Linked DNA regions of Notamacropus eugenii. The protein of the gene in region 1 interacts with the protein of each later gene in a biochemical or structural test. Links are inferred from orthologs where the notes say so. Each region holds a gene or a part of one and is shown on either strand. Other genes may lie near its edges.

Evidence for each region.
Region 2: the proteins of MMP2 (region 1) and TIMP4 form a complex in vitro, tested with the Homo sapiens proteins (2 studies listed by BioGRID). The link is inferred for Notamacropus eugenii from reciprocal best matches to the Homo sapiens genes MMP2 and TIMP4.

What each region holds. Positions count from the first base shown.
Region 1 is NC_092872.1:471,439,784-471,451,112, forward strand, and holds the start of MMP2 (72 kDa type IV collagenase), read left to right. Parts: upstream 1-5,760; 5' UTR 5,761-6,042; coding exon 6,043-6,195; intron 6,196-11,329.
Region 2 is NC_092874.1:432,873,941-432,885,269, reverse strand, and holds the start of TIMP4 (metalloproteinase inhibitor 4), read right to left. Parts: upstream 7,018-11,329; 5' UTR 6,491-7,017; coding exon 6,358-6,490; intron 1-6,357. UniProt on the Homo sapiens protein: Complexes with metalloproteinases (such as collagenases) and irreversibly inactivates them by binding to their catalytic zinc cofactor. Known to act on MMP-1, MMP-2, MMP-3, MMP-7 and MMP-9.

The DNA.
Region 1 (11,329 bases):
ATTAGCAGGCATCTAGGCTATGTAGCTGACAGATCACCATCAATAATGGTAGAATACCTCTCTAAAGGAACCTCCTTTGAACCAGGATGGACTGGAACAAGGGAGTCTAGAACTCTTCCACCTCCTGCCTTCAGAAAACAAACCTCACAATGAAGGTGTCAAAGAGGGAAGGCTTCTTCTAATCTTAAACTAAAGATTGTTGCTCTTGCAGAAAGAACACAATAGCACTGAAGTTGAAAGGAGTATTGTAACACTCTAGCTGAGCAGAGCAGTGTAACATTCCAGCTAAAGACACTCCAGCTAATGAAAGTCAATCGAGAGGGAGGGTGAAGACTACAATTGTCTATAGATGAGTAGGATCTACCTAAGAAGTATAGGTAATATACCTTGTGATGAGCCCAACAACTAAATGAAATGACTATGATAGAAAGATAAAAAGTATCTATGATTATATTTTGAAATACAGTCCAGACAAAGGGTGATTTCTATAAAGACATGGAAACCTGGGGATGTTTGTAGGCAGCATGGAAGAAGCTAGTAAATTCTTGTTATTCAGTCATTCAATCATGTCCCACTCTTCATGACCCCATAAATCATAATACAGCAAGCCCTTTTGTTTTCCACTATCTCCTGAAACCTCTCCAAGATCATGTTCATTGCTTCTATGACACTAATCTTCTTATCCTCTGCCATTCCTACTCTTTTGCCTTCAGTCTTTCCTACCATCAGGGATTTTTCCCCCAATAAGTACCATTTGAGGCCAAAGTACTTAACTTCAGTATTTATCCTTCCAATATTAAGAGTTGAAATTAATTTCTTTTAAGTGTTTACTAATTTCATCTCCTTGCTAGCCAAGGGAATATCAGAAATCTCCTGTACCACAATTCAAAAACATTGATTCTGCTTTCTTTATCATTCAACTCTCATAGCCATACGTTACTACTGGAAACAGCATAACTTTGACCATATAGACCTTCCTTGGCAAGGTGATGTCTCTACTTTTTAGTATGTTTTCCAGATTTTCCATAACATTCTTTCCAAGGAGCAAGCATTTTTTAATTTCATGGCTACAGTCCCATCAGTAGTAATCTTTCGGTTCAAGAATATGAAATCTGACACTGGTTCCATTTTTTCTCCTTTAATTTGCCAAGAAGTAATGAAATCAGTTGCTATGTTCTTAGGTTTCATTTTTGATCTTTTTTTATTCTAAGCTTGAAGCCAGCTTTAATACTCTTCTCTTTCACCCTCATCAGGAGGTTTCTAAATTCTTTTATGCTTTCTGTCATCAGAATGGTATCAATTACATATCTGAGACTGTTGGTATTTCTCCTAGCAACTTTTAATTTGTCCAGCCTAGAATTTCACATGATATACTCTGCGTATAAGTCAAATAAGGTAACAATATGCAGCCTTGTCATACTCCTTTCCCAACCTTAAATCAATCAGTTATTCCACTTTTTATTCTGTTTCTTCTTGATCTGGACATAGGTTCCTCAGGAGACAAATAAGATGAGCTGATACTACCATCCCTTTGAGGACGTAGCCATATTTTGTTGTAATTTACACAGTCAAAGGCTTCAGTGTAGTCATTAAAGCAAAAGTAGATGTTTTTCTGGAACTCCCTTACTTTCTCCATAATCCAGTGATGTTGGTAATTTGATCTCTAGTTCCTCTGCCCCTTCAAAAACCAGCCTGAAGTTCTGATAATTCTTGGTTCACACATTGCTGAAGTGTTGCTTGTAAAATCTTAAGCATAGACTTCCTGACATTTGATATGAGTGCAATTGTTCAGTAATTTGAATATTCTTTGGCAATGACCTTCTTTAGGATTGGAATGTAAATTGATCTTTTCCAGTCCAGTGACCACTATTGAGTATTCTATGCTTGCATACTGAATGCAGTACTTTAACAGCATCATCTTTTAGGATTTTAAATAGCTCAGCTGGAATCCCATCGTTTCACTAAGCTTATTGTTAGCTTTAATTTCTAAGGCCTATTTGATTTCATTCTCCAGATGTCTGATTCTAGATCAGTAACCACACCATCATAGTTATCAACGATAAGATCTTTCTTGAATAGTTCTTCTGTATGTTCTTGTCATCCCTTCTTAATCTCTTCTTCTTCTGTTAACTTCTTACCATTTTTGTCTTTTATCATGCCCATTTTTTTGCATGAAACATTCCCTTGATATCTTGAATTTTCTTTTTTTGGAGATTTATTTTTATTTTTTTCAAATTTATTAATTTATTTTTGGTTTTCAACTTTCACTTCCATAAGTTTTAAATTTTCTCTCTCTTCTTCCCTCTCCTTCCCCAAGATGTCATGCAATCATGTATGGTCTCTACACATATGTTCCTATTAAATATTTACACAGAAGTCATGTTGTATAGAAGAATGATAATGAATGGGAGAAATTATACCCCAGTACTGCTCTTCTCACCCTTTTATTAACAATGAGTTCTTGTCCACCGCTGTAAATGTAATGATCACTTGAATTAATTTCACCAATTCCCATCCATTTAGGTTCATTGGTACCCAAGATTCTCATGCTTAAACTTTCCATCTCCTGTTTGAGTACATCTGGCTTACTGTGGCTCATAGATTTAACATTCTGGGTTCTTAAGCTATATTGATCTTTGCAACATTAAACTTTCCTTAAGTCACAAGACACATCCACAGCTGAGCTTCCTTTCAGCTTTGGCCCATACACATCATTCTTTCTGGAGCTCCTTGTTGTTGTCCTCTGTTCTTTCTCAGTAGGGTGTTGGATGTCTTCAGACCCACAGGTTCATCTTCTGATGTCATATCTTTTATCATTTTAATGCCACTCATGGGATTTTCTTGGCAAAGATATTGAGGTGGTTTGTCATTTCCTTCGTAAGTGGATCACCTTTTGTCTGAACTTTCCACTATGACCAATCCATGTTGCATAACCTTGCCAGCTCATAGTTTCATTGAGTTATGCAAGCCCCTCTTCCATGACAAGGCAGTGATCCAAAAAGGGAGGCAGCAAATAAGGAGAATTTAAGATAAGATAAGGATAGCATAAATAAAGTTAAGTTTCTAGAGGAGACTGGATAGCATGAGATACAGGACACAAATAGAAGCAATCCTTAGAGCAAAAAGGGTAAACTCTGGGTCAAAGAATAAAGCAAAAGAAGAGAGGAGGGGAAGAATGAAGCTGGGTTTTGGGGTGTCAAGTAAGTAACAAGTGGAAGCTCATGGCCTCCATTTTCTCAGTAAAATGGGTATATTTTGCTTAATTATGCTTATTTACTACAAGGGAGAGGTTGAGTTTTGGAGGTAAGTGAATTAGTGTGAAGTAATAGACATGCATAAACAATAGAAAAGAGCATATTAATCAATCATTAGAAAAATACACAGAAGAAAATAAACAATGTTCAGAAAGGGACACAAAAGCAAGTTTATTATTACCTTGTTAAATTTAATATATCCCTTAAAAAACAAATTGTTTATAATGGCAGCTCAAGGTTTCATATACAATTCTCTTTTGTGTTCTTGATGATTGCTAAATTTATGAAAAAGATTAAAAGAAAAAAATAGATGAGGTCACTTAAGAGGGAGGTAAGTAGGAGTGGTGTAGAGAGCTTGAGGAGAGAAGAGAAAGTTTATAACTGCTTTTGTGGGCAATGAAATAGAGAACCAATCAAGAAAGAATGAAATGATTGTTGTATGGTGATAAGGACCCAGTAAAGATTAGAAAATCTCAGTTTGTAGTTTGATCCCAAGCAAGTATAATAGTAACTTCTGCTAGTGATAATCAGCAGCACCTGGGTGCTTAGAGAGACCATTTACCTCATGGGAGTGACTTTGGCCTGCACAGTTGAGGCAGTTTGTGGCTCCTGCAAGGTTCTGAGTCAAATCCATAGATACCAAATTCTGTCTCCTCTACCTACCCCCTAAGCCTCAGCTTCCACATCTGTTCTGACAACATGAGCAGGAATCTGAGCCAAGAAATAGCTTTGGTGGAGTGGGGAAATAGTGAGCAGTAGTTGGCAATAGGACTTTAGGCAAAATATTTATAAGGAAAGGACTCAGAGAATTTGCTGATCCTAAGGGATGGGGAAACTGTCTTCAGGAGTTTCTAGGGGAGATGGAGTGTTGCCCTTGGGAGCACTAGTGGCACATGGATAGAGAAACTCAGCAGAAGATGTAAGGATGTGTCTGAGACCTGGGGATGGGTTAGGGTGAGTTAGGAAAACCGATTACCCTCTTTCCCTCACCACCTCCTACTAACTCAAATCTGAAGCAAAGAAAACCCAGTTCCTGACTCTCAGATCAACCATTATCTTTGATTCTAAAATCCACCTCTTGGACAAAGATGTTTATCCCTCTGACAAAGGGCTTGCCCTCTCCTGGATCATATCACTGAAAGAATCCTAAATGCCCAGTTAAGGCATTAAGCACTGTCCTTTACCTCCCCTTCATATATACTTTCCACTGCCCATTCTAGCAAGGTGCTTCTTTGGGCTATTGGAGCATTGGTGGTCAATTCAACCCTTACCAGCAGTCCTGTCTCTATTGGTCTAGAAGTTCCTAGAATTACTGGCAGAACAAAAATTCATCTCAGTGTTCTGTTAGCTTCAAGGTAAGAATCTTTCTGGGCTTCAGTCTCATCTTCTGTAAAATGAGCTGTATGTACTAACTGTCTTTGAAAGGTCTTTCTTCATCTTGTGATCCTAAGTGTCTATGTCTGTGGACTTTAAGGGATAATAATCCTTCCTTCAGCAACTCTAAGGAGATATGGTGTGAGAAGGAGGGTGTCTGGCCCTTCACCCTGATTTTGTATCTACTAAGAGGTATGGCCAGATTTCCCAGATTCCAGCTCCTGGTGTCCTGGATTGTTTGGGTCTGCCTCAGCCTTGGGACCTAGACTGGGCAAGAGGGAAGTGGAACATCTGAGTGGTTAGAGAGACCATTTACCTCATGGGAGTGACTTCTTGCCTGCACAGTTGAGGCAGTTTGTGACTCTTGCAAGGTTCTGAGTCAAATCCAAAGACACCACATTTTGTCTCCTCTACCCACCAGAGCCAGAGCTTCCACATCTGTTCTGATGACAAAAAGCCCTACAGAAATGTAAGCTATTTTATTGCTTTTTGCCTGTGTTTTTTGGTCACCACTGAGTCAGAGATAATACTAGAGGAAGATTCAAACTCCGGTCCCATTCCAGCTGCCATTTACGACTTTGCCATGTCTCTTTTTTCGTTTCTCTCCACATCTTTAGCTGACATCATCTTTTTCCATTGTCATGCCTTCCCACCCATCATCATTCTTGATTGTTCTTTTCCATGTCTCTCCATTTCTCTGATTATCCATCTCCATCCCTGATCATCTGATGATTTCTCTCTCCTAGTCTCTCCACACCCAAGGCTAAGTCCTCCTCTTCTTGCCCTCTACTCTCCCCAACATCAATCACTAAATTGCCGTCAAGTGAAAAAAAAAACCCAAAACTTCTGGACCAGAGATTACAAAGGTCAACCAGTCCAGATGTTGAGGGGTGGGGGAGAGAGACATGAGACATGTGGGACCTGGACTGCAAACTAACGGGCAGGGCCCAAGGGTATGGTCACGAAGACTCTAGGGCGGCCAGCTGGAGTGGTAGGGGTGGGCAGTGACCCGGGTAGGAGAGGGACAGGGGAGGGAATTCGCTCCTCCCTCCCCCCAAGGCCACAGATTTGACTGCTGTTCTCCCAACTCCCAGCCCAGCCGGCCACATCTGGTAACTGCCCCTTTCCCATGTTTCCGCTGGATCTAGACTTCCTCTTGCGGTGGCTGGAGGCTGCGCATCTGGGGGTTTAAACATACAAAGGAATTGCTGGGACCAGCAAAAGGGCAGGCTGCGCGGAGCGGAGTGGAGTAGAAGGGAGGGAAGGAGAGGGGAGGGGAACGATCTAGCTAGTGGCTGCTCAGCGTGCGGGCTGGAAACGATGCGCGGTTGAGAAAGAAGGCGGAGACGTGGACTGGAGACTCTTAGAGCCCCCCTCTTAGATCGCGACTGCACAAACACTTTGAGGAACGACCATGATGACTCCAGCGGCCCCCGGGGTCCTAGGATTCCTCCTCCCGGCCCTCTGGTTCCACTCCAGCGTTTTCCACCAAACTTGGGCAGCCCCGTCTCCAATCATCAAGTTCCCGGGCGATGTCTCTCCCAAAACAGACAAAGAGTTGGCTGTAGTGAGTGTCTCGGTTGGGCTTCAGCAGGGTGGGGGTTGGGAGGAGGGGAGGGTGGCTGAGGGGGTCCTGCACACAGCTGGGGGGAGCTGGCTCCCTCAGCTCCCCGGGAGGTAAAGAGGGGGAGGGGGAGAGGAGACAGCTGGAGGGTGGGAGGTCTGCCTGGATTGGGGAGGGGCAGGGTGTCCCAAGAGAAAGGAATTGGCAAAGCCAGCCTTTTGGATGTAGAGCTCACTGCCAAAGAAAGTTTCCTTGGACTTTAGAGAAGTGAGGCTGGCGAGGGGCAGGAGGAGGATAGGGGGAAGGAGAGAGGAAGGGAGGAGGGATGGAGGCGCGCGGCGCTCTGGGGTTTCCTGCAACTCCTAATGATCGCCGGCACACAGCTAGGGGAGCAAAAGGGTGGGGGAAGCAGGGAGCCCCCGGACGATTTCAGGGAAACTGAACTGGCCAGAAAACCCCTCCCCCAGGGCCTGGACCGCTCCTTGAAGCGGCTCAGATGTTGTTTTCCGTGCATTCACCACATCGTTGCATAAGCAGAACTGGAGGGACAATTACTGTGCGGCTCAGGGACTGCTGAGCCTCTTGGCTTTAATGAGCACTTTGGTCTTGGAGCGCTAGTCCCGCGGTTGGAATCGGCTCTTCTGAAAGCTGCTGGGGAGGGGGGGGGCATATTAGGGGAGCGGGGAGGGAATGTTGGAATGTTTAAATCTAAATCTTCTACCTGACCCCCGGGGCCTATTTTCCTTGGAATTTGTTTAAAAGAATTAATAAAACCCATCCCCAGAGTTGAAGGGACTTTCAGAGGCCACCTATTCCAACCTGTACGGAACAAGGATCTCTACTGTAGCATCTCAGAAAAGTGGTCTTCTAGTCTCTGTTGGAAGCCATCCAGGGGTCGGAAATCCATTCATTACCCACCAAAGCCACCCATTCCAGTTTGGCTTTGCTCTAATTGATTTTCCTTTCATCAAGCCCCAAACTGCCTTTCTGCAACAGTATGCCCATTTGTTCCTAGTTCCACATCTGGGACCAGCAAGCAGAACAAATCCAACTGCTCCAACCCAAGTATTCTTGACTTCATGCTAAAATATCATTACATCTTTCAACTGACCCTCTCTAGCACCATCCTAGATGTGTCCTCTGGACTTTCTTCAATTTGTCAGTATCCTTTAAATGTGATACCCAAGATAAAACAGTGCTCCAGATGTCATCTGAGAAGAGTAGAGGCTTTAGGTTTAGTTTTCTTATCTGTAAAATTAGGGTTGTGGCCTAGATGGCCTCTGAATTCCTTTTAGTTCTAACTATATGATCCTGCAATCCCATGACTAATCCACCTCTTATCCTAAGCACTTTCTTTTATCTGTTGATGGAGCCATCATTTCAAAAGGACAAAAAAGTTAGGGGAACACTGAACCATATCAGAGGAAGGACAAATTTGGTATCCTGGATTATTTAGAATAGCCCCCAGTTTGAGAGAGCTTGGCAAGAACAGAACCAGATGCAGAGTTCTCCCAAGCAGAAACAGCTGAGGCAACATTTTTTCTGGGTCACCTTGCTGGGTTTGGATCATCAAGAGAGATAGCTCAAAACTCTAACCATAATAGGTAACAAGAAAAGAGTATCAAGGGTAGGGTGAGATAGGAAAGTGAGGAAAGTTGATCTAGGTAGTTTTTAAGGTTTTTTTCAGCTCTGATATTTTATGGTGTCATCTTTACTAATTAGTAATTAGTAAATTAGTTTTTAGTTTGATTAGATTTAATTAGATTAATTAAGGTCATAGATTTAGAGCTAGAAGGGACATCCATCACAAATAATCTAGTCCAACCTCTCTGTTTACAGATGAGGAAACTGAGGCTTGCCCAAGGAGGTTAAATGACTTTCCAAGGTCACAAAGTGATCAGCAGAGGTAGGATTTTGAATCTAGAGCCAATATCCTTTCCACTATAACCTTGCAACTCAGCAAGTACTTATTAAATGTCTAATGTGTATCCAATAATGGAAAAAGAAAAAAAAAAGACAAAGCAAGAAAGATCTAATCCTTGCTTTTGAAGAGTCTCTAGCCTAGTTGAATAGATGTCCTAGCTAACATTTGTAGAGTGCTTTTAAGATTTGCAAAGCATTTTACATGTTATGTCATTCGATGTGAAATAACCCACGGAGAACAATGAGCGTAGTAGGAATGTTATTTACTTAATAGTGTATAACATTGTGCTAAGTACTATATGAAAAAGTCTAAAGACAGGAAATGCTCTCTGGAACTTTATGAGCTAAGACACACAGATATATATTCAGCCGCTAAGTGAACAAACATTTATTGAATGCTCGCTATGGGCCAAACTAGATGCAATGGATAGAGCAAGGGGCTTGAAATCAGAAAGACTCATCTTCATGAATTCAACTGTTTGCCTCAGTTCCTTATCTGTCAAATAAGATGGAGAAAGAAATGGCAAACTATTCAAGTGTCTTTGCCAAGAAAACCCCAAATGGTGTCACAAAGAATTGAACATATACGGTGCTAAGGGCTGGGAATACAGAAAGAAACAAAGAACAGTTCCTTCCCTTAAGCTCACAATCTAAGGGAGGACCCAAGGAGCAAACAAATATATGCAAACAATCAGTAGGATTAGTAGGAGATAATTAAAAGAGAGGAACACTAGAATTAAGGTACTTAAAGGAAGTCAGTGACACCAGTAGGCAGAGATGAGGAGGGAGCATTTCAGGCACATGAAGGTATGTGGTTGTTATACAGGCAACTGGAGAAAAAAGTATCATATCAATAACTGATCAGAGAAAAGTGTGCTCTGTTGATCAGTCAGTGTCAGGAAAAATGGACATATGGGAATCCCATTTAGGATCAATTCTTATGTGTAATTTGCCTACCAAAAGATTAACAAGCACCAACAGCAGGACAGTAACTTCCTCACCTCTTCTTACCCCCGTGGGTTTTGTACCCAGTTTCGACTGGGGGCTAAATGGAGGATCTCACACTGCTTCCCTGATCAGTCCAGGAAGGCTTCATTGAGGAAGTGAGAATTCAAGAGCTTGTTGAATTGAAATCAAATACTGGGATATAGAATCAAACTTAGCAAGATAGGAATACAGGACAACTTGGTGAGGGGCTATGAAAAGTAGGGTGTAGACCTGTATGCTATAGTGGAAAGAGCAGAGCACAGGTCTAGGTGTTAGAAGTCCTCTTTTAGAATCTATTCTCTGTAGCTTTCTAGTTGGGTGACCTTGGGCCAGCTAGCAAACTCTTGGAGCCTCAGTTTCATCTGTAAAATGAATGAGATTCTAATGATATTCCCAATGAGGTCTAATCCTCTCATTTTTTCCCCAATATGAAGGCTCATTGTCCTATTATTTAATTCAATTCAAATCAATAAGTATTTACTAAATGCCTTCTACCTCCAAAGCATTATGCTTTGGTCTTAGGTCTTAGAGATACAAACATAAAAATCAGTCTTCATTCTCAAAGAGCTTATATTCTGCTGGTAGTGATATAGCATGCATAGGAATAATTATGAAGTATGCAAAAAGCAATTTCAGGAAGGAAAGAGTACCAGCAATTGGGAGGATTAGGAGCCTTCTATGGGAAGTAACAACTGAGTTGTGTTTTGAAGAAAACTTGGGATTCTAAGAGGCAAAGATGAAGTAGAAGATAATGTGAAATAAAACTGGAAAAATATAGATAGGAGCTAGACTGTTGGACAGCTTTAAATTCTAGCCTACAGAGTTCATCTTGTATGTTAGAGGCAATAGGGAATCATTAGAGATTTTTACATGAAAGAATGCTGACAAAGTCACAATTGTGTGGTAGGAATAGCAATTTGTGAAAGAAGAGCCAGAGTCGGGAAATACCAGAGGTAGGGCCATCAATGAAGGCTAATACAAATACCAGACAAGAGTTGATGAGGTCAATGAGAAAACACTGCAGGACCTAAGATGGGGGAAGCATAGTTAAAATAACAGCTGGAGAAGACTTTGGAAGGAATAGTAAGGCTAAACTGAAGGGAATAGACAGGATGGGGTAAAGGCAGGGAGAAAGTAGGTAGAATTGTTGAGAAAGGGGGAGTAATTTTATCCAAGTCATGTGGGTTGAATTTGTGGGGGAATTTTTCTCCCAAATGGAAGAGGAGTTGAGTGCAATAAGCTTGAGTTTATGAGATGGTTTGGGGTTGCTTAACTTTGTGGTTGTAGCCAACTTTATAATGAGACCATAGTCACGAGTTCAGTTCTCAGGTGGGTCAGTTAGCATCACTGTGCTCTGTGGCTGCTGGCAGTATCCTTTACACCAAACAGCTGTTTTGAAAAATTTGTAACTTGTGACCAAGCTAAGAAGAATGAATTGCTCAATGCAAAGCTCTTCTCACTATTAAAAACAAAACTCAGAGCCTCTGCCCTATGGATGAGAGGATCAGGAGCAGCATCTTTGCATTTGAAAGGAAAACATTTATTTATTTTCTAGACTGCATGTCTATGTAGGAGGTCATGAAAGCAGCTTGACAGGGAATTGAGCTCTGGGAATAAGAGAGGAAGTGACATCATTCTTTATTGGCCCTTCTTTCTTCTCTAGCCTTCCAGCCAGGGGCATTCCCTAAGGCTATGTCCTTAGTTCTCTTTTCTAATGGATTTCAGAGAATTCATCTATTGCTGTGGCTTTATCTTGTGGCTCTGTTTTATATAGATTACACCTTCATATACATTTCCAGTCTTGACCCTCCTTCAGAACTTCTGTCCTGAATATGCAACTGAGTACTAGACATTTACTCTTACATGACCTGCCTATACACTTGCCAAAAAGATTATTTAATGGAGAACTCACACAGGGCAGGCGAACTCTTGGTGGCCAGAAGATGTGATACAAGGACACTCTCAAGGTCTTTCTCAAGAACTTTGGAATTGATTATGTGACATGGGAGACACTGGCACAGGAACACTCAGCGTGGCATGCCCACATCAGAGAAGGTAATGTGCTCTATGAGCAAAGCAGAATTGAAACAGCTCAAAGGAAACATAGGATTTGCAAATTTTGAGTAGACACTCTAAATATTCACATGGACTATTTGTACCCAATCTGTGGTAGAGCATTCCAAGCTCATATTGGTCTGACCAGTCACAGTTGGACACATCGAAACTT
Region 2 (11,329 bases), on another chromosome or scaffold:
GGTTCAACACACATGGAGCTATGGACTGACTGGGCAAGATGCTCTCAGTGCCCCAGAAACTCTCCAAGACTGTACTTAGCAGGAGAGGAGGTGTTGATATTTGTTAGTAGAGGGAATTCCTCACCTGAAACTCTCCACCGATTAAAAACACAGTCCACATTTTTTTAACAAAGGCAAGAGAGAGAACATGGGGAACAGTTAGCAGGTCCATTTTTCTGGAATTCAGGGTGCATGAAAGTCTGGCACCAGATTGTGAAGGGCCTTAAAATGTCAGGGTGAGGAATTTGCATGTTTTTCTAAAGGCAGCAAAGAACCACACTGATGGTTCTGGGAAAGGTTCAGGCCTGTGTTTTAACTCCATAGCTCTGTGGAGCATAGATTGTAGCAGGGAAATACCTGACTTAGAGAGACCAATTGGAAGGCTATTACCATAGTACAGCTGACAAGTAACAAGAGCTTGAAGCAAGCTATGAGCTATGTAAAATGGATGTGTTAAATACACTGTGTGGGGAGGATTGGGGTCAGATATACTTGGAGCCAGATTAAAATGGAATTGGGAAATGTTTGAGAAAGGACATAAAAACACAATAGAGAATTTGTGGTTGTTCACTTGTTTCACTTGTAACTTTGTGTGACCCCATTTAGGGTTTTCTTAGCAAAGATACTGGAGTGATTTGCCATTTTTTTCACCAGCTCATTTTACAGATGAGGAAACTGAAACCAAGCAAATATTGGAGGGACCAGAGGAGGCGTGGCTAAGGAGAGGGCTATGACTTGCCCAACAACACACAGCTAGTACTTAAAGTGTCTGAAACTGGATTTGAATTCAGGTCTTCCTGACTCCATGCTCTGTGCTCTATCCACTGCATTACCTAGCTGCCCCCACAACAGAGTTTAGATAATGCTAATATGTCAACATGCAGCCGTCAGGGATCCTTTTGTATGATTTAGTGGCCCCATTTCTACTTGAGTTTGATGCCATTAATGTAAATGGCAATCAGGGAGCTGATGTTGGAGATGTGAAGTAGAAGGAGAATTAGCTGGACTGGGTAATTGATGGAATGGGGAGACAGTGGTACAGAAAGGTAGTAGGTAGACTAGATGTCTCTGAAGTTATGAACTTGGCTTCCTGAGAGGATGATGGTGTCACCAACCCAGATAACAAGGTTTGCAGGAAGAGTAGGTTTATTAGCTAAAATGATGAGTTCAGATTTGGCCACACTGAATTTGATGTGCTAATAGAGCATCTGGGTACAATTCATCTCCTGGAAAATCATTATACCCCGGGAACCCTCAGTTTTCTCATTTGTAAAATGAAGGTGTTGGAGTACACGGTCCCTTCAAGCTTGAGTTTGGGGAGTATCCCACAAAGGCATTGACCAGAGCACGTTGCCCATCTCAGGGTCCTCCCTGTCTCCGGCACTGAGTGTTATCCAATGCAATCCCCACCTAGTCTCCTGCTTACCCATCAACAGTTTCATCAGGAAAACGACTCAGAGTAATGATAGCTAATATTTATACAATGTCTTAGCTTCATATATTTCATCTCAGGCCATCCTCATGTAGGTTCCTTGAGGGTAGGGACTGTCAGTTTTGGGGGCTTTTGGGGGGAGTATATAGTAGGAGCTTGATCAATGATTATTGCATTGATAATTCCAACTTGACTTGAGTTGACCTAAGAGTCAACACAAAATAATAGAAAAAATGATGGAATTGAAGGCAAAAACATGGGTTCAGATTCTACCTATGTGACCCTGAGCAAGTCACTTAATCTGTTTCCTCATCTCTAAAATGACCACGTGAATTCTACAGTCCCTTCCAGTTCTAAAAATATGACCCTAGGGAGGTGGTGGCAGCTAGATAGTGCGGTGAGTAGAGCACTGGGCCCGGAATCAGGAAAGCTCATCTTCCTCAGTTCTAATCTGGCCTCAGACACTTTCCAGCTGTGTGACCCTGGGCAAGTCACTTCACCCTGGTTGCCTTAGTTTCCTCATCTATAAAATGAACTGGAGAAGAAAATGACAAACCACTCCAGCATCTTTGCTAAGAAGACCCCCAAATGGGTCAGTCAGACATGACTGAACAACAATAAGAGGTAGGTGCTATTATTATACTCCTTTTACAGATGAGGAAACTGAGGCTCAGAAAAGTTAAGTGGCTTGCTCTGGATCACACAACTATGAAGTGTTAAAAGGCAGATTTGAAATCGTTTTCCACTAATGCCATATTTATTATCCTTAATGATCTCCCTCCTCCACTTCACTAGATCCCTGGTGTTTTGAGTAGATAACCCCCCAAAAAATGCTCCAAACACAGCCCTTCTGAACAGGACTAACTGCTAGTCACAAACAGAGCTGAGGCCACAAAAATGTCCTGTCAGGTCCAGAAAGCCATTACTCAGTATGCAGAAAGGATTCCTCAGGCCATAGAAATGCTAATTGGCGGTAGGGTTGGAAATTCACGTTCTACATTGGCTATGGTAATGAGCAGTTTATAGACACTCTGGCTAGAATGCGGAGCCAGGGAATGGAAGGGACCACAGCATGCCCACTTTTTTTTTTCCCATATCTCTTTGCCTGAAGATTTTGGAGTGATCAGGTCTCAGTTGTGTGGAGGACATTGAAGAAAGAAAGGAAGGCATCCCATTAAAAAGCCTTCTCATCCATGAGTTCTGAAGGTCAGGAGGCTCTAAATAGTCCAGGCAGTGACAGAGTGGGAACTGCAGTAAAACTTTGATTTCTTGGAACCAAACTATGTGAACGGCTCAAAATTAACTAAGTGTTGCTAATTGGGAGGGGTCTGTACCATGCTGGATGGCATCCCTGCTAGCTATTGTCCTATCACTCTTCTCCCTTTTCTGGCCAGACTCCTAGAGAAGGATATCCATAATTAATGTCTCCTCTTCCCTTTTCTCATCCTCCCTTCTTAACTCTCTACAGTCTGGCTTTCTACTTCATCACTCAACTGAAACTGCTCTCTCTAGAATTACCAAGAATCCTCAATCGCCATATCCAATGACTTTTTCTCAGTCTTCATTCATCCTTCCTCAAATCTCTGCAGACTTTGACATCGTAGATCACCCTCCTTCACCTTGATACTCTCTTCTGTCTACATTTTCAAGGCACTCTTCTCTGCTGGTTCTCCTATCTACCTGACCATTTCTTCTCAGTCTCCTTTGCTAGACTTTCATTTGATCGCACCGGTGAACAGTGGATGGAGTGGCCCCCAAGGCTCTGTCCTGAGTTCTCTTCTCTTCTACATCTATAGAGTTTTATTTGGTGATCTCATCTGCTCCCATCATTTCAACTATCAACTCTGCAGGTAATTCTCATATTTATTTGTCCAACATCAACCTCTTTCCTGACCTCTGGTCTCATGTCTCCCACTGCCTTTTGGACATTTTGAATTGGCTATCCCATAGACTTCATACATGTTTAAGATTGAAATGGATTTCCCATAGAACCTCAACATGTTTAGAACTGAAATTATCTTCCCCATCCCCAAATCCTTCACTTTTTCTAATTCTCCTATTTCTATCAAGGTTATCACCATCATCCCAGTCACCTGGGCTCAAAATTTAGGTGTTATTCTCAATCCCTCTTGCTCTCTCACCATTCCCCTCTCTCCCCCAATCAATTGCTAGCCCTGTCATTTCTACCTTGGCAACATTGATCATTATATGCCTCCTTCTCCCTTCTGACACTGCCCCTGCTCTGGTTCAGGACCTCATCACCTTCCACCTAGAATAATGTAATAGCCTACTGGTTGGTTTACCTATCTCAAGTATCTCTTACCCCAGTCCATCTTCCACTTAGCTGTCAAACAGATGTTCCAAAAGTGAAATTCTGATCATCTCATCCCTCCTGGTCAATCACCTTTACTGGCTCCCTATTACCTCCAGTACCAAATATAAAACCCTTTGTTTAAATCCCCTTCCCACTGTTCCAGTCTTTGTGCTCCTTACATATACTCCCTCCCCCACCCCAAGTACTGCCCTTTCTGCTGTTCCTTGAATTACACAAACCATCTCACAACTCTTGCATATTTTCATGTATGTATTTTCATTTGCTGTCCCATGGCTGGAACTTTTTTCCTCCTCATCTCTGCTTCCTAGATTCTGTCAATTCTCATCTAAAATCCCACCTTCTTAGGAAGCCTTTCCTGATCTCCCTTAATACTAGTGCCTTCCCTCTGTTGATTCTCTCTAATTTAACCTGTATACATCTTGTTTTTGCATGTTCTCTCCCCCATTAGACTGTGGGCTCCTTCAGAGTAAGGACTAGTCTCTTTTTTTCTTTGTGTCTCCAACACTCCACATATATGTTTTTTTTAAATGGTTGTAAACTGCTTGTTGACTGACAAAAAAAAATCTACACGGACAAATAATTGTCTATATCTAATAGTAATAAATGTAAAGTGCTACACTCAGGTTTAAAAAGTCAAGCGTCCCAAGTTTCTTATACTTAATATGTATGTGATATTGGCTAAATCACCTCTCTGGGCATCAGTTTTCTCATCTGTAAAATGAGGGAATTGGGACAAACCTCTGAGGTGCCTTCTGGTTCTAAATGCTAAGGGCAGGATGAGGAAACCACACCTAGACAACAATTTATGTGAAAAAGACATGTTTTCAGCTAAAATTCAAGCTGAGTCACATGTACCATCATTGTGCTCTTAGGCTGCTCTGATGGAATCATAATGTCCCGAACAGGGGCTCCTAACCCTTCCTGCTCAGACTATTACCTGGAAATTTGATCTGTTCTGGGTGCCACATTTTAGAAAGAACATCGACAAGTCTGAGGGCATCAGATAAGGAAACTAAAACCCAGGCTACCATGAGACAGAATAAAGGAACGATCTAGCTGAAAGAAGGTAAAACATAGTAAGGGAGCTCTGTTGGTTGTGACATGTAGAAGAGACAGAACTACAATGAAAGTCTCACAGGCAACCTTCCCGTCAAGGATCGCCATTCTAAAGCAAAACAGTCCAGAAGTAGAAAGGAGTAGAGAGTTCTCCATCACTGACTCAATGACTACTCATGAGGGAGGGAAAAGAATGGGTTCTTGTTTAGGAGAACTCTTCAGATTCTAACTTTGTTTGGGTTTTTCCTCTACCTTGGCACTCCACTTCAGAGAGAAAGAGGCCAACCCCAAGAAATCAATCTGGATTCAATGATTTAATTAAAAAAAATAACAGTCTTGCAATGGATGGAATGGGGAAGGTTCTGGAGTCAGTACACATAGGAGATGAGCTGAAAGGAGGTCCCAGAGGTCACCTAGTCCAACTCTTTCATCTTACAAATGAGTAAACTGAGGCCCAGAGAGGCTGTGATTTGTCTACAGCAGGAATTGGACCCTAGGACCTCTTACTCGAATTCTAATTCTCATTCCCTTACCCACCACCAACTCCCGACTTTCTGCATCAGCAGCTATGGGTCCTGGGCTGGAAGAACCCATGTTTAAAATAGTGGCTCTGCTTGATCTTCCAATATTCTCTGCACTTTACTGAACTTTCTTAGGTGAACAAAGGCATGGACAGAGAAGGCAGTGTGGGGGTGTAGTGGAAAGAGCCCCCTACCCCCAAGACAAAAAAAAAAAGACCTCGGTTCTAGTCCCTCCTCCTAGACAAGTGTTGGGACCCTTTCCTGTCCCTGGCCCTCAGTTTCCCCATTTGTAAAAAAAAAGAATTTGTACTAGATCTCTAGATTCCCTTCCAGCTCTAACAAACTGTGATTCCATGCCATGGGTCATTGGGTGCTGTGGAAGACTCTTTGTACGTTCTCTTTGTCCATAAAAACCAGTGACTTTCCACTTGTCACATGTTGCTATAGCAATGAGTCCTCTCCCAATGCCTTCGTTTAAGAGTTAAGAAGGAAGCAGTGTAAGAGTATGAAGGGGAGTTGAGTTTGGTTTTGGAGGAGGGAGAGGGGGTGGGAGGAGACCGCAGTGTTTTCTCCAGATAAAAGCCATTGGGTAAACTCTTATTAATAACCCATATGCAAGCTCTGGAGTCCCCCCGCCCCCACCTCCCCAGTGTAGCTGGGATAGTGCCAACAGCACCAGTCTGGAAGTCAGGAGACCTCCTTTCTAATCCCGCCTCTGCCATTAACTCTCTATGTGACCTCGGACAAATCCCTACTTCTCTTTGGGACCTCCGTTCCCCCAACTGTAAAATGGGGGCGAGGGGTTAGCCTGGAATGATCTTCCCAGCTCTGGCAATCTGTGATCATACAAGCTTATTACCAAAAAGAACGGCCCGTACCCGCTCCAGTCCTACATACAGAGATAGTTTGCAGTGGTGCCAACCAGTCCCGCGAGCCGCCCCCCATCCCGGCCGCCTGCCCCGGGGCGCACTCACCTATCGCCGAGGAACAGAGCAGCTGCTGGGGGTGCGCGGGGGCGCAGCTGCATGCCTCCACCCGGGCCCGGAGCTGTAGGCTGAGCCCCAGCAGCAACCCGGACAGCCACCAGGCACGGAGGGCGGCAAGCATGCTGTCAGCGCCCCCCTGCCCCGGAGCGCACCCCGGGCCGCGCCGCGCCAGGCAGAGGCGAGCGCCCCTCCTGGTCCCGCTGCCCACCCGGGGCTCTCGGGCTGAGGCTGGACTGGGGCTCGGCTGCTGAGGGCGCTGGCTGTAGCGCTGGCACTGCCTATGCCCCTGCTGGCGCTGGCGCTGGCGCTGCCGATGCCGATGCTTCTCCGACGCTGGCGCTGGCCTGGGCACTGGCGCTCCGCCTCCCTCGGCTCCGGACAGCCCCTGGCGACTCTGTTCAGTCCCAGCACCCCCTGATGTTTATCTCCCTGACACGCGACCCTCTTATTTATGGCCCCGACCCCTCGGGGCTAACCCCGCCTTCTGGGCCTCACTCCCAGCCCATCGCTGACAGCCAGAGGCATCTTGTCTCCAAAGAGGGGGTTACCTTACTTGGTTTCGCATAACGGGGTGGCTCTGAGTCAGGAAAACTATTAATAACCCAAGCCTCTGCCCTCCCTCCCTCCCCACTCCCCACCCCCTGCTATGCCCCAGCCACCCTCCGAACTGGGGGAGATGTTTTTGGATTCCAAGGCAGGAAGGGGACCTGGTGTCCCAGGAGCGGTCTGAGCAAAGCTGCCCAGGCCAGAGTGAAGAAAGACTACTTGAAGGGAAGAGAGGATTCCTTCCTTCCCTGGGGAGAGGAGAGGACATTGCGGGAACCCCTCTTCCCCACCCCGCCCTGCAGGCTTCCCCCAAAGGCAGCCAGCCTGCGAGCTGGGCCACAGTGCCCGCCTGCGGTAGGCGACACAGGGCGTCATTCAGCTGCAGGAAGTGTTTTCAATGCCCTATTTGTGAGGCCCCAAACAAACAGCAAACAGAGAGGCAGAGAGGGCTGCCTCTCTCTGAGGGAAAGGCGCCAGCAACAGCGGCGTTTGAATCCCTTTCCCATGCCCAGGGTCCCAGGCTCCGCGGACAGTTGGCATCTGAACTAGCTCCCTTCCTGTGATTTTCCCTGGAGTGGGGGAGGGTGGAACGCTGGGCTTCAGACACCCTGGAACCCAGAGTCTCTCCCTTTCCCTCTGGCTCTCTAACTTTGACCCCTCAACCCTGCTCTGTTGACCTTCCTCCAGCTGCCGCATGTCCTGGGGAGTCGAGGCAAAGGAAGAGGAAGTGAGGATCTGTACCCCACACTGCGGCCATAACCAGATTGCTACAGGATTAGCCAGACCGGAAGAGAAGAGGATGCTTGTGGTTGGCAGGGCTGGTCTAGGGCTTGGCAACCTGTGGTTTGCATGCCCAAGGTGGCACAAAAGATGGGTTATAAGGCCATAGGGGCTGGTGGTGTGGGAGAGATATGAGGAGAGACTTGTTTTGAGCCCTCCTCTTATGACTCCTGACCACCCTAGATCATCAAGATTCCTGGGAACTAAGGCTTCAGAGAATTCTTCTAGGATATCCCTGGATTCATCTCTTCCTCAAATTTGGAGGAATCAGGCAGGCTCCTTCAGCCTCTGTAGCCCCCTTATCCCACATCACCACCACCAAAGAAGTGAATGAATGAACACTTGGCACACTGATTCAAAAAGATTGCTGACTCCTAAACTAGTCTAATGTAAAAAGTGTTGGATTAAGGCAAAGTGGACAGAGGATGAGGGGTGGGCGGAGAATCAAGTTCCCAACCACACATTTAACATTGGACAAGTTGAACCCTCTTTTGGGCAAGATGCCACAGACCTTGGGGCCTAGAATTGTCAATACCATACCTTGTTTTCTTTTTCTTTTTTCTCTCTCTCTCTCTATTTGTTTCCAACATGACTATGTTGGAGATCGATGAAATGAAAAACAGGTACAGGTATTAATTGAAAACAAAGATACAAAAAAAATTATTGGAAACCAAATTTGTGAAAAAAAGAATAATTGAATTTATTTCATTTCTAAAGTATAATTTGGATATTTTTATAAAGTATTTTGATGAGTTTATAAAGTACTACCAAATTCTCTAGAGTTTAATGAAAACAACAACCACAAACAAACAAAATTCACAGATCAGTTATTCCTTAAAAGGCACCTTTAAAATGACTAGGAATTGACCTAAAACTGAGGTTGGCATTTTAAGAACTGTTTTATTAACTTTATTTTTTTTTATTTTTCATTTTTAACACAGTTCATATCACATAAAACAATTCCATCTTTTGGTCAGGTGATACTTCTTGTAAAGCATTTACAACATAGACCACAAACGAATTTTTTTTTTAACATTAACCAACTGAGACACAAATAATAGCTATGTATGCTAACTTCACAAGCCCTTGACCTAATTGTCTCCACAGTATTACTAAGAATTAAAGGACCCTAACTTATTGTTGTTGGTCTAAAGTCCTAAGCCTAATAGCTTAGTTTTAGACTTAACCTCGGACATTCCCCTACCAAGAATTTATAATTTAATAGATCTGGTATTAAGCTTACAAACCTTCTGACTATAGGAAATTGCCACTAAGAGTAGGGACGCTGCAGGGAAACAATATCTCCCCAACTTCATGTCAGTTACAGGCGGGAGTAGATTGTCAACTTGCATTCAGTCAGGCTTAAAGTCTGCCAGGTGTCAGTGAGGAAATTGGGTCAGGAGAATCCTACCTCAGCCCAGGTTGAACAGCCTCTCTCCCACCCTTCCTATGAGATCACCTTTTTCAGTTCATACCAGCATCTCACAGTTTTATTGGCATCATGGACTGGAGGCCCAGACTGCCTTTCTTGCTATCCATATCTGGAATTAGACTCAGAAGAACAGTCAGTTAATAGTCCCATAGCATCTTAAAATAGCAAGTTCCAATAAGCAGGTTTCAGATATGACTATAATTTCATATTGGCTAAGGAACATCTTTTGAGGCAAGTTTTAAGTGGCTTACATGCCTTTCTGTACATGTTCTAGTTCTTGATTAAAAAACAATCATAAAATAAAATTTACCATTAAAACCTTAACTTTTCCATCAATGCCAAATTTTACCCGAGGTTACTTGCCTCTAGGAAATTTAGACTAAAATTCTTTTCCCCCAAGTAAAGATGTCTCTGATTTAATCTCAGTAATTAATTCAGTCAATTGTTTTAATACTAATTGCTTTTACATCACTTTGTAATATGTCCAGTTTTTCTCCCCGTCTCTTCCTTCCCCTACCCCCTAATACCTTGCATTCTGAGTATCCCTTCCCTCAGTGTGCCCTCCCTTGTATCACACCCCTCCCTTCCCTTATCCCCATCTTCTCTCTTTTCTTGTAGGGCAAGAGACATTTCTATACCCCATTACCTGTGTTTCTTATTTCCCGGTTATGTGCAATAATAATGCTCAACATTCATTTCTAATACTTTGAATTCCAACTTCTCTCCCTTTCTCCCTCCCTGTCCATCTCCACTGAGAAGGCAGGCAATTCAATACAGACTAAATATGTGTTGTTTTGCAAAAGACTTCCATAATAATCATGTTGTGTAATACTAACTAAATTGCCCTCTATCCTATTCTATTCCCCCTTATTTTTTTATTCCTTCGTTTGACTTTGTCCCTTCCCAAAGGTGTTTATTTCTAATTACTCCCTTCTCCCATTTGCTCTCCCTTCTATCATTCCCCTCATCCCACTTGTCACCTACTCCCCTACTTTCCTGTAGTGTAAGATAGATTATCATACCAAATATAGTGAGCATGTTATTTCCTCCTTAAGCCATATGTGGAGAGAGTAGTTTCACTTTTCCCCTCTCCCCTTCTCCCTTTTCTCCTCCATTGAAAAAGATTTTTCTTATCTCTTTTATGAGTTATAGCCTACCCCATTTCATTTCTCCCTTTCTCTTCCCAGTATTTTCCTCCCTCTCCCCCTAATTTTTATTTTATATCTTTTTTTTTGTGGATATCTCTTCTTATTCAACACAGTCTGTACTCTGTGCGTGTATGTGTGTGCGCATGTATGTACAATCCCTCCACCTACCCAAATACTGAGAAAAGTCTCAAGAATTATAAATATTTTCTTTCCATGTAGGAATGTAAACAGTTCAGCTTTAGAATGTCTTTTATGATTTCTCTTTCCTGTTTACCTTTTCATGCTTCTCTTGATTCTTGTGTTTGAAAGTCAAATTTTCTCTTCAGTTCTAGTCTTTTCATTGTGAATGCTTGAAAGTCCTCTATATCATAGAATGACCATTTATTCCCTTGAAGTATTATACTCAGTTTTGCTGGGTAGGTGATTCTTGGTTTTAATCCCAGTTCCTTTGACTTCTGGAATGTCCATTCCAAGTCCTTCAATCCCTTAATGTTGAAGCTGCCAGATCCTGTGCTATCCCGATTGTATTTCCACAATACTCAAATTGTTTTTTTTTTCTAGATCCTTGCTTGCAGTATTCTCTCCTTGACCTGGGAACTCTGAAATTTGGCCACAATATTCCTAGGAGTTTCTCTTTTTGGGTCTCTTTCAGGAGGTGATCAGTGAATTCTTTCAATATTTATTTTGCCCTCTGGTTCTAGAATATCAGGACAGTTTTTCTTGATAATTTCATGGAAGATAATGTCTAGGCTCTTTTTTTGATCATGGCTTTCAGATAGTCCCATAATTTTTAAATTGTCTCTCCTGGATCTATTTTCCAGGTCAGTTGTTTTTCAATGAGATGTTTTACATTATCTTCTATTTTTTCAAATTTTTGGTTTTGTTTTTTAAATTCTTGGTTTATCTCATAGTCATTCATTTCCCCAAACTCAATTCTCTCTTCAACAAGCTATTTTGTTCAGTGAGCTTTTGAATCTTCTCCTCCATTTGGCTAATTCTACTTTTTAAAGCCTCCTTCTCCTCATTGGCTTTTTGGACCTCTTTTTCCAATTGA